Cricetulus griseus: one gene and its partners. The protein of the gene in region 1 interacts with the protein of each later gene in a biochemical or structural test. Links are inferred from orthologs where the notes say so. Each region holds a gene or a part of one and is shown on either strand. Other genes may lie near its edges. The genes, in order: Adrb2, Grk2 and Grk6.

What was found.
Region 2: the proteins of Adrb2 (region 1) and Grk2 form a complex in vitro, tested with the Homo sapiens proteins (2 studies listed by BioGRID, with this or other methods). The link is inferred for Cricetulus griseus from reciprocal best matches to the Homo sapiens genes ADRB2 and GRK2.
Region 3: the proteins of Adrb2 (region 1) and Grk6 form a complex in vitro, tested with the Homo sapiens proteins (2 studies listed by BioGRID, with this or other methods). The link is inferred for Cricetulus griseus from reciprocal best matches to the Homo sapiens genes ADRB2 and GRK6.

What each region holds. Positions count from the first base shown.
Region 1 is NC_048595.1:176,928,152-176,931,309, forward strand, and holds Adrb2 (beta-2 adrenergic receptor), read left to right. Parts: upstream 1-1,328; coding exon 1,329-2,585; downstream 2,586-3,158. UniProt on the Homo sapiens protein: Beta-adrenergic receptors mediate the catecholamine-induced activation of adenylate cyclase through the action of G proteins. The beta-2-adrenergic receptor binds epinephrine with an approximately 30-fold greater affinity than it does norepinephrine.
Region 2 is NC_048596.1:54,951,750-54,955,942, forward strand, and holds the start of Grk2 (beta-adrenergic receptor kinase 1), read left to right. Parts: upstream 1-1,379; 5' UTR 1,380-1,580; coding exon 1,581-1,693; intron 1,694-4,193. UniProt on the Homo sapiens protein: Specifically phosphorylates the agonist-occupied form of the beta-adrenergic and closely related receptors, probably inducing a desensitization of them. Key regulator of LPAR1 signaling.
Region 3 is NC_048596.1:274,442,772-274,445,815, forward strand, and holds part of Grk6 (G protein-coupled receptor kinase 6), read left to right. Parts: coding exon 1-4; intron 5-98; coding exon 99-236; intron 237-527; coding exon of another isoform or gene 528-569; exon of another isoform or gene 570-1,501; intron 1,502-3,044.

The DNA of each region.
Region 1 (3,158 bases):
ATGGAATCTGATGCTCTCTCCTGACCTTCAAAATAAGCACAAATACAATGAAAAGACATACCTAGAGATAAAACTCCCATATGTGTAAAATAAATGAATTTAACTTAACTTTTAAAAATGTAAAAGGAAAATATTACATTTTCATTTTCAATGCATCCTCATATAACAAGAAAATGATGCCACACTCCCAAGAATTAAAAATAAAATAAAACCACCTAACTCTCCCCTAAATGTGTAAATACTTGAACTCCTAATGAAAGACAAAGGGTAAATTACTGCCTCGATGCCTGCAAGGTCTCAAGGGGGGAGGATGCCAAAACATATTTTTCAAAAAGTGTGCAGAGAAACTGTAGCTATTGAAGTCACCTCCTGTGCTCTTGCCAAATAACTGTAAGGGAATATACTGAGAGTCTGGGAATGGGAAAAGAGGGTGTCATTTATAAGTGCTTCAGGAGGATGCTACCTGGATGTGGACATGGGTGTCTGAATGGTCCGCACACCACATCTCCACATGAGCTCTTGTGTACATTTCTTTCTGCATGTTTCTAGGTATTCCTGTGTTTGTTTTTAGCCACCTTTCTGCATTGGACCAGGAGACAGCTGTCGTCTCCAGCGTGAGTGGGCGCGGGTGTGTCTCGGTGTCTGTGGCTGTGGTGCGGCATAAGTCTGAGCATGTCCACGTCGGCCGAGTGCGTTTGTGCCTGTGTATGCGTGTCCGAGTGTGCTTGTTCAGTCTCTCTTCTCTGTTCCTAAAGGAAAATGCGCTGTGTGCCACCTGCATCCAGAGACCTCAGCCCGCAGAGGTGACCTGCACGGACAGGTAGAAGAACTTCCAGACTGCGCTTGGTTGGTGGATCGTACAGCAGCTCCAGATTTCTGTCTCTGAGGCCCCACTAGGGTAGCTGGGAGGGAGTGGTGGCTTGGCCTCCGGGGAGCACTGGGGCCCCGCCCGGACCAACCCCAGGAGGAGGCGGGCTAGGCAGGGAGGGTTGGCCCTTGGTGCCTCGCCCCTCCGGGCATGCGACCGTACCATTGGCCCAAAGTTGTTGCACGTCACCAAGCAATTCCCCTAAAGTCCGGTGCACATAACGGGCAGGGAGCATTGCGAGACTGCTTCTCCAGCGTTCAGGCTGCAGCTAGCAGGCACCGCGAACCCAGAGCACCCCACGAGCTGAGTGTGCAGAACGCGCCCCCAGCACAGCCACCTACAGCCGCTGAATGAAGCTTCCAGGAGTCCGTCCCCGGCAGGCTGTGCCCCGTCGGAGGTGCACCCGCTGAGAGCGCCAGGGCGCCCAAAGCCAGTGCACTCACCTGCTAGTCTGCCAGCGATGGGGCCACCCGGGAACGACAGTGACTTCTTGCTGACACCCAACGGAAGCCATACGCCGGACCACGACATCACTCAGGAACGGGACGAAGCGTGGGTGGTAGGCATGGCCATCCTCATGTCGGTTATCGTCCTGGCCATCGTGTTTGGCAACGTGCTGGTCATCACAGCCATTGCCAAGTTCGAGAGACTACAGACCGTCACCAACTACTTCATAACCTCCTTGGCGTGTGCTGATCTAGTCATGGGCCTAGCGGTGGTGCCGTTTGGGGCCAGTCACATCCTTATGAAAATGTGGAATTTTGGCAACTTCTGGTGTGAGTTCTGGACTTCCATTGATGTGTTATGCGTCACAGCCAGCATTGAGACCCTGTGTGTGATAGCAGTGGATCGCTACATTGCTATCACATCGCCATTCAAGTACCAGAGCCTGCTGACCAAGAATAAGGCCCGAATGGTCATCCTAATGGTGTGGATTGTATCCGGCCTTACCTCCTTCTTGCCCATCCAGATGCACTGGTACCGTGCCACCCACAAGAAAGCCATCACCTGCTATCTCAAGGAGACTTGCTGTGACTTCTTCACGAACCAGGCCTATGCCATTGCTTCCTCCATTGTGTCTTTCTACGTGCCTCTAGTGGTCATGGTCTTTGTCTATTCCAGGGTCTTCCAGGTGGCCAAAAGGCAACTCCAGAAGATAGACAAATCTGAGGGAAGATTCCATTCCCAAAACCTCAGCCAGGTGGAGCAGGATGGGCGGAGTGGGCACGGACTCCGAAGGTCCTCCAAGTTCTGCTTGAAGGAGCACAAAGCCCTCAAGACTTTAGGCATCATCATGGGCACATTCACCCTCTGCTGGCTGCCCTTCTTCATTGTCAACATCGTGCATGTCATCCAGGAAAACCTCATCCCTAAGGAAGTTTACATCCTCCTTAACTGGTTGGGCTATGTCAATTCTGCTTTCAATCCCCTGATCTACTGTCGGAGTCCAGACTTCAGGATTGCCTTCCAGGAGCTTTTATGCCTCCGCAGGTCTTCTGCGAAAGCCTATGGGAATGGCTACTCCACCAACAGTAATGGCAAAACAGACTACATGGGGGAGGCAAGTGAATGTCAGTTGGGGCAGGAAAAAGAAAGTGAACTGCTGTGTGAGGACACCCCAGGCACGGAAAGCTTTGCGAACTGTCAAGGTACTGTGTCTAGCCTTAGCCTTGATTCCCAAGGGAGGAACTGTAGTACAAATGACTCACCACTGTAATGCAGGCTTTCTGCTTTTTAAGACCCCTCCCTGACAGGACACTAACCAGACTATTTAACTTGAGTGTAATAACTTTAGAATAAAATTGTATAGAGATTTGCAGAAGGGGAACATCCTTCTGCCCTTTTTTATTTTATTTTTTTAAGCTGCAAAAACAAGAGAGGGGGAGAAGCTGTATTTGAGTGCTTATTTGTTTCTTGTGCAGTTCAGTTCCTCTTTGCACGGAACTTAAAAGTTTCTGTCTGAAGCGTGTTGGTCCTAGAGGACTGTCTGTACGTTTAGATGATTTTTCCATGCATCTACCTCATTGGTCAAGTGTTAGGGTATACTATTATTGCTGCTAGTAATTTGTATCAGAAGGAAGTTTTCCTTCCTGTACCCTTGGACTTGACAATCCTGTGTCTTGGACCTTTCTGCTGTGAATATATACTCTCCCCCGCTCCACTTATTTGCTCAAATGGAGTGTTGTAGGCAGTGATCTGAGGGACAGCTTCAGCTGTTTTTTTCTGAGCAAAGTCTAAAGTTTACAGTAAATAAATTGTTTGACCATGATTTCATTGCACCTGTTTCTCC
Region 2 (4,193 bases), on another chromosome or scaffold:
GGATGAAGCAGGGGTCAGGGGAAAACAGCCTGGGTTTTGACTTGGATGTCCAAGGATATCATCCACTGATAACCCCCCCCCATCTGATTTGTATTGATCCAAAGCAGTGAAGAAGAGCAAAGGAAGTAGGGGTACTTGTTTTGCTGGTCTGTGAACTGGAACAAGAATCAGTTTCTAAGTGTCCAGAGCTGGGTTTGAAGAGCCCAGGCACGTTTGGAAATCAGAAAGGTGCTCTTAAAGATTTTATTTATTTATTATATATACAACATTCTGCTTCCATGTATGTCTGCACACCAGAAGAGGGCACCAGATCTCATAACGGATGGTTGTAAGCCACCAGTGGTCGCTGGGAATTGAACTCAGGACCTCTGGAAGAGCAGTCGGTGCTCTTAACCTCTGAGCCATTTCTCCAGCCCCTAATTTTTTTTTTTTTCATTTGTTTGCTTGAGATATGGTCTCACTATTTAGCACTGCCTGGATTTGACCTTACAGAAAGACACCTGCCTCTGCTTCTCAAGTAATGGAAGGACAGAATAGGCAGTAGTTGGTTACGATAGAAGGAGGCACTTAGAAGGCCACCAGGCCTGAGGATCTGAGTTCCATCCCTAGGCACCCAAGTGGTTAAAAAAAAAGAGAGCACTGATTGTCAAATTGTCTGTCCTCAGACCTCCATATGTGCATAAGTAAGTAAATAAAAAATAATGGAATAAAAAAAAAGTTCAGCCCTCATCGGAGTGTGGTTTGGTAGCTCACACAATTTAATCCATCTCAGCACTTGGGAGGCAGAGGCAGGCAGAGCTCTGTGAGTTAGTGGCCAGCCCGGTCTACGTGGTGAGTTACAGGACACCAAGGACTACATGGCAATCAATACCCTGTCTAAAAATAAGGAAAACAACAGCAAAATGTTCATAGTATTGTCACCCGAGGTCTGGGGTCCGAGGTGTTTATGTTAGTGTGATCCTGAGAAAATGTTCTGAAATCTGAGTCTGGGATCTTGGTCGGTGTCAGGATTCTTATTATCGTCCACGGTCTGGGGTCCACGCCCTGCTGGGAGCATGGAGTCTAGCCTCCTGAGGAGATGCGATCCCAGTTTGTGGCCATCCCCTAGGGTCGTCCCGGAGTCCTGGGTGCAGGACTCAGGTAACAGCCCAGGACTGCGATCCGCGTCCCTGTCCCGGACCCGAGCAGCGCGGCCTCTAGGGGGCGCTGCCGCCCGCCTGCCCGCCGCCCGCCCGGCTCGGCCCCTCGGCGGCTCGCTGGCGCTGTGCGCGGCAGCGGGGCCGGAGGCGGCGGCGGCGGCGGCGGCAGCTCCGGGCGCGGGCGGGCGGAGGGAGGGCGGGTGGTGGTGGTGGTGGCGGCGGCGGCCCCCGACTGCAGTCCCGGCGGGAGCGGAGCGCGAGCCGGGCCGGGCCCGAGCCGGCGCCATGGGGCGGCGGCGCCTGTGAGCAGGCGACGAGCGGGGACCGGACGGGGCGGCGGCGGCGCCGAGGCCGACAAGCCGCGCGGGCCGAGCCGGGCCGAGCGAGCGGGAGCGGAGCGGAGCCTCGGGCGGCGGGAGGAACAGCGCCGCCGCCGCCAAGATGGCCGACCTGGAGGCGGTGCTGGCCGATGTGAGCTACCTGATGGCCATGGAGAAGAGCAAGGCCACGCCGGCCGCGCGCGCCAGCAAGAAGATCCTGCTTCCAGAGCCCAGGTGAGGAGCCCGCCTCTGCCGGGCCCCACGCGCCGACCCGGGTACCATGCCCCCGGGGACCCCTCTCTCCCCGCCGCCCCAGGCCCCGGGGACTCCCCCTGCTCCGGTGACCCTCTGCCCCAAAGACCCCACTATCCGGGCCGCCCCAGGACCCGGGGACCCCCATACTCCCGGATCTTCTGCTCCGGAGACCCCACTATCCGGGCCGCCCCAGGACCCGGGGACTTCCTCTCTCCCTGCCACCGCAAGGCCCGGTGCCTGCGAGCCCGGAGCGCCCCAACTCCAAGCTCCCATCGCGCTCTCCCGGCCGCGCTACCGCTTCCTGTATCTCACTGCTGGGCCTGGTCGCTGTCAGCCCCTAGCTCTGCTGCAGCTGTCTTCCCACCCTGGGTGCTGGACTCTGCCCTCCACCCTTTGTGTCCCCTTGGGGTTCCTTTCCCCAGGTCTGCCTCTGTTTACCCAGTCTGTTGCTCCTGCTCCCAGCACCCCCCTCTTTGGCGTTCCACTGTCCTATCCACTCCCCTCAGAGTGGGTAACACTCTTGTTCGGTTTGTGGAGTAGGGAGGACCAGTCTGGAGACTTTTTTTTTTTTTTTTTTTTTTTTTTGCCTTCTCATCTGGTAGTGTCACTGCCCCTGGCTTGGATTTGAGAGTACTTTGGGGGGACAGTGCTGTGTGATGTGTCTACCATCCCTCGGGGCTGTGCTCAGGTGAGGGTAGTCCCTTCTCCGTTTTCTCCCCATGTGGTGCCTTGTAGGTACTTTTGACGAGGGGACAGCCCATCCTACAGTAGCTGGACCGTGCTGCCACCTTTCTGCAAGACAACTGATGTCATTGCACCTGGTATCAAAGTTTAAACTGTTCAGGATGTGGGTGCAGAATCGGGCAGGATGTGAGAAGTGTAGCTGGGGTTTGTCCAGTATATTGTGGCAAATAGACTTACCTTCCCATTTGAACTCACAGGAGACCAGAGAGTGAGTGAGACAGGTGTAGTTTTGTGCCCATAGAACAAGGTTTGTGTGTGTGTGTGTGGCGGGGGTACAGCTCCCCCTTGAATGGCTTGTTCAGTGTCACCCAACCTCCACATCAGGGCTTCTAGTTGTATCTTTTGTTCACTGTCTTGACCTGAAGGATGGCCTGGATGTCCTGCGTCTGGAAAAGCAGATGTGTCTTCTACACATCAGGATGCCTTATGGTGGATGGGTGGTGAGGTCAGTCCCAGAAGTTTTTCATGACAGTCCCTTTAGCAGCCAAGAATTGTTCCTGACTTTACCACCATACTCTTATCACAAGACATGGGGCAAGTTCTTTTCCTTTTAGACCTTGATTTTTACCTCTGTGAAATGTGGGCAGTATGAAATAGGCCTCTGGTGGCCCCAGTTGTTGGAGCAGGGTTGGCAGCTTACAGGGATGCTGTTGTACACTTACCATGCCCCTCCTCCAGTGGCTGCTTACTGGGTTTCGGGTTGACTGAGAATCAGGCCCGTAGAGGAAAAATTGGTCTGCGTTTCGAAGAGGCCGTTGCCCCCCCCTTTTTTTCTAAGACATTTGCAATCAGATTTCTCAAAACAGGAACTAGACGAGTGTCAGCCAGGGCTGTCTAGGGGCAGCGGCAGTTAGGACGAAATGAGTTCAGAAATGACAAAACTTCAAGGGAAGAGAAGGGGGAGGCTTGCAGTTAGCATCTAGGGCACTGTCTATCTCTTCTGGGCAGCCACAGCCATGAGAGTCTTGTGCAGGTGTGAGGTCTGCAAAGTTTGAGGTGGTGCCTTTTTCTAGAACTCTCCATATTTGGATAATCTTTCCCCAGAATGCATTTCTCCTACTGGGCCCTGCCTTGAGTGTCTTCTGCAGGCATTAGAACCCTGATGAATGAGCTGTGCCTCTTCCCCTTTCCCCTTTCATTTGGTGGCAGTGGCGATGTGACAGCAATGAGAATGGAGTTTTTAATAATACATTATTTATTTTGACATCTGTCATCTTAGTTAATCCAAAAACCATCGTGTGAAGTTGGCAGGGCCATGCCTATGTGGACTAGTTGTAAACAGTACCAGGATGGGGTGATAGTCTGTGAGCAGAATGGAGGCAGGCTGTGAGTTTTAGGAAGCAACGACGGCACCATAGGCATTGGTACAAGGGCAGGGCACCATCAGCACTATGTTGTTGATCCAGTTGCTCAGTCTGGATGGTGAGGAACCTCTTAACTCTGAACACTGGTATGCTCAGGCCAGGAAAGGACCTGGAGTCACCCTGCAGTGGCCGTGGCCCTAGGCATGCAAGCCTCCCACGATGGAAAGCAGTCACCTTTGTGATGCATGTTGCACATTCTTGAGGCATATGTCTCTTGCCCTTGAAGGTAGTTATGGTTGGGTCTCACATTTGCCCAGTATGTCCCAATTTGTGAAGTGCCTTGTCTTCACAACTCTGGTATGCTGCTGACCCAGCAGGTGGTATTTTCCTCATTTACTGATGATCAAGGTCTTGAGGCATGCCATACGAAA
Region 3 (3,044 bases), on another chromosome or scaffold:
TCAGGTATGAGCCATAGGCTTCACTGGCCTGGCCTGGGCTGGAGCTGGGGATCCCTCATCTGTTCAAAGGTACCCCAACCACCTCTGCCCTGCTACAGCTTCTCAGCAAGGACCCTGCTGAGCGCCTGGGGTGCCGTGGAGGTGGTGCCCGCGAGGTAAAGGAGCACCCCCTTTTTAAGAGACTGAATTTCAAGCGGCTGGGAGCTGGAATGCTGGAACCGCCTTTTAAGCCTGATGTAAGTCCCACTCATTCTTGCTCATGGCCTGGACAAGCCAGGACACGGGGCCTTGGAGCAATGGCCTGGTCACTTTCAATGCAAATGTTGAAAAACCCATCTAATGGTTTGGGCTGCCCTCCAAAAAGTCTATGTATGAGTGTTTGTGTGTGTGCATGTGCATGGGTGAAGCCCCACATAGCGTGAGTTTTAGTTCAAGTTGGAATGAGGGTGGACATGGGATGCTCCAGGAACTTGATTCCTCTTTGTCCTGTGGTTGGCTAGTCTTCCATGACAGGCATCTTTTCCCAGGGAGTGGCATTGCTGGACCAGGAGCTCAGGCTCAGATCTTAGCTAGCCAGCTATCCGGTCGACAGAGAGCAACTCTTGTTCAAGAACTTGAAATGAAACTCTAAAACTGTTTGCTGAAGAGATTCACTGGACACTTGGATCACATGCCTTCCGGCCCAGTGGGAGCTTGCCTCCTTCCCACAAGTTTGTGGAGACTGGGTCCAGCTTGGTGTCTGTCAACCACGTGTGTTTATACATTTAACAAATTCCTGAATTCCATATATGTCAGGCTTTGAGATAATGAGGTCCACGGAGCCAGGCCCAGCCTTATGCTCTAATGGAAACACCAAAATAAACCAGCAAGCAAGGAGAGCTTTCAGGTGGTCCTGAGTGCCAGAGGAAAGCGAGTAGGCCAGGAAGGCAGCTATGAGGGGGTGTAATCACTCTCGACGGGATAATCTCTGAGAAGCTGCTGGGAAAGTAGACCTGAGGAGAGAATCATGCAAAGGTCTGAGGACATGAACATTCCAGACAGGCACTGAAGCCCTAGAGCGGGACCAGCCTAGGGACATGGAGCGGCATCTATGAGGCCAGTGTGACTGGAACAATATATGCAGAGCAGGAGCAATGCCATGTTCTAAGGATGGCAGGGTACCTTTGGGGGTTCAACCTGATTTGAGGTGTGGGAGTGGGTCAGAGAGGAGATGAGCGGCCAGGGAGGGAGCCTGAGTGATGGCTCACATGGTAGACGTCACCCACCGAGAGGTCGAGCATCGTCAGTGAGCTGACCCTGCTGCCTCAGGCTGGAGCTGCTGCTCAGGTTAATTCCCGCTCTGTGCTTGTCCTCTAGCCCTGAGATGGTCACACTGCCTGTGGGTCATTGTTCAAATTTAGAAATAAAGTCAGTATCTTGGAACTTAACATTAGAAGCAGTGGATGAAAATGCAAGCTCAACAATGCTTTTTTATTTTATGATTTGTTATGATGTATTTATTATGTATGCAGCATTCTGTCTGCATGTTTGCCTACACACCAGGAGAGGGCATCAAATCTCATTACGGATGGTTTGGTTGCTAGAAATTGAACTCAGGACCTCTGGAAGAGCAGTAAGTGCTCTTAACCTCTGAGCCATCTCTCCAGCCTGCTTTTTTTTTTTTTTTTTTTTTAATTAAAAAAAAAAGTCTGCATGTGTATCTCTGTGTGGGTATATGAATTCAGGAGTCTGTGGAGGCCAGAGGTGTCGGATCCCCCTGGAAGAGCAGTGAAAGCTTTTAGTATCTGAGCCAGCACTTGGCTGGTTTTTGTTGTTGTTTTGTTTTGTTTTGTTTTTTTGAGGATACAACGTTTCTCTGTGTGGCCCTGGCTGTCCTGGAACTCACTCTATAGACCAGGCAGACCTTGAATTCAGAGATCCACCTGCCTCTGCCCCGAGTACTAGGACTAAAGGCTATCATGCCCAGCTGACAATACATTTTTATCAGCTATTGAGATGAAATCACAGTTAACCCATGTAAAGTATGCAGTTCAGTTGAGTCATGTGATTGTCACCACGTAAGATCAGAATGTTTTCACCAGCCTCTCCAGAACCTAAACAAAACCCTACGTCCATTAGGGTTCAGAGTTCTTTCCTCCTGTCCCAGGAAACCACTAGTTCTCCTATATTCGTCTACTTTGAATAATTTAGCTATGTGGGTATATGGGGTCCTCTGAACATCGTCCTCTGTGACTGGCTTCTTTTGCTAAGAATGCTTTTAGGGTTCATCCAGGTTGGAACATAGGCCAATATGCCATTTATTTTAAAAGCTGAATAATATTCTATTATATGGATATAAATTCTATTCATAGTTGACATGAGGGTATCTTTGGGGTGGGTAGGGCTTTCAGGAATAATGCTATTTACTTTTACTTTTGAGATGAGGTCCCACTGTGTTATCTTTAAGTTTTGAACTGGCAGACTCAAGCATTCTCTCTGCCTCAGTACATGTATTGGTATAAAATTACAAAGTCATATATGGTATATCTTGTAGGGAGCTTGGACTTTTCCAGGTCAGACACACCATTTTACAGGATGATCATGATAGTGTGTGTGTCAGTAGGTAGGCTGGTAGATAGTGTGTGTGCTGAGGATAGAACCCAGGGCTCAAGCATGCTGAGATACGCTGTACACCACTAACTACACCTCTAGCCACGTGATAATGTTTTAATTGACTTCCTTTGTGGTAAGATTTTGAAAGCAGATGGTAGTGGCGGCGGCGGCGCACGCCTTTAATCCCAGCACTTGGAAGGCAGAGGCAGGCAGATCTCTGAGTTCTAGACCAGCCTGGTCTACAAGAGCTAGTTCCAGGACAGCCTCCAAAGCCACAGAGAAACCCTGTCTCAACGCGCCCCGCCCCCCCCAAAAAAAGATATTTTTGAATGCAGTGTAGAGATAGAAAAGAATTGGCCTTCAAATGCAGAGGCCAACTCCCAGTAGGAACTGGGAAGACATGGGAAAAACATTCCAGTACTGGACATTTTAGAGTGGAGACCTCTCCAGTC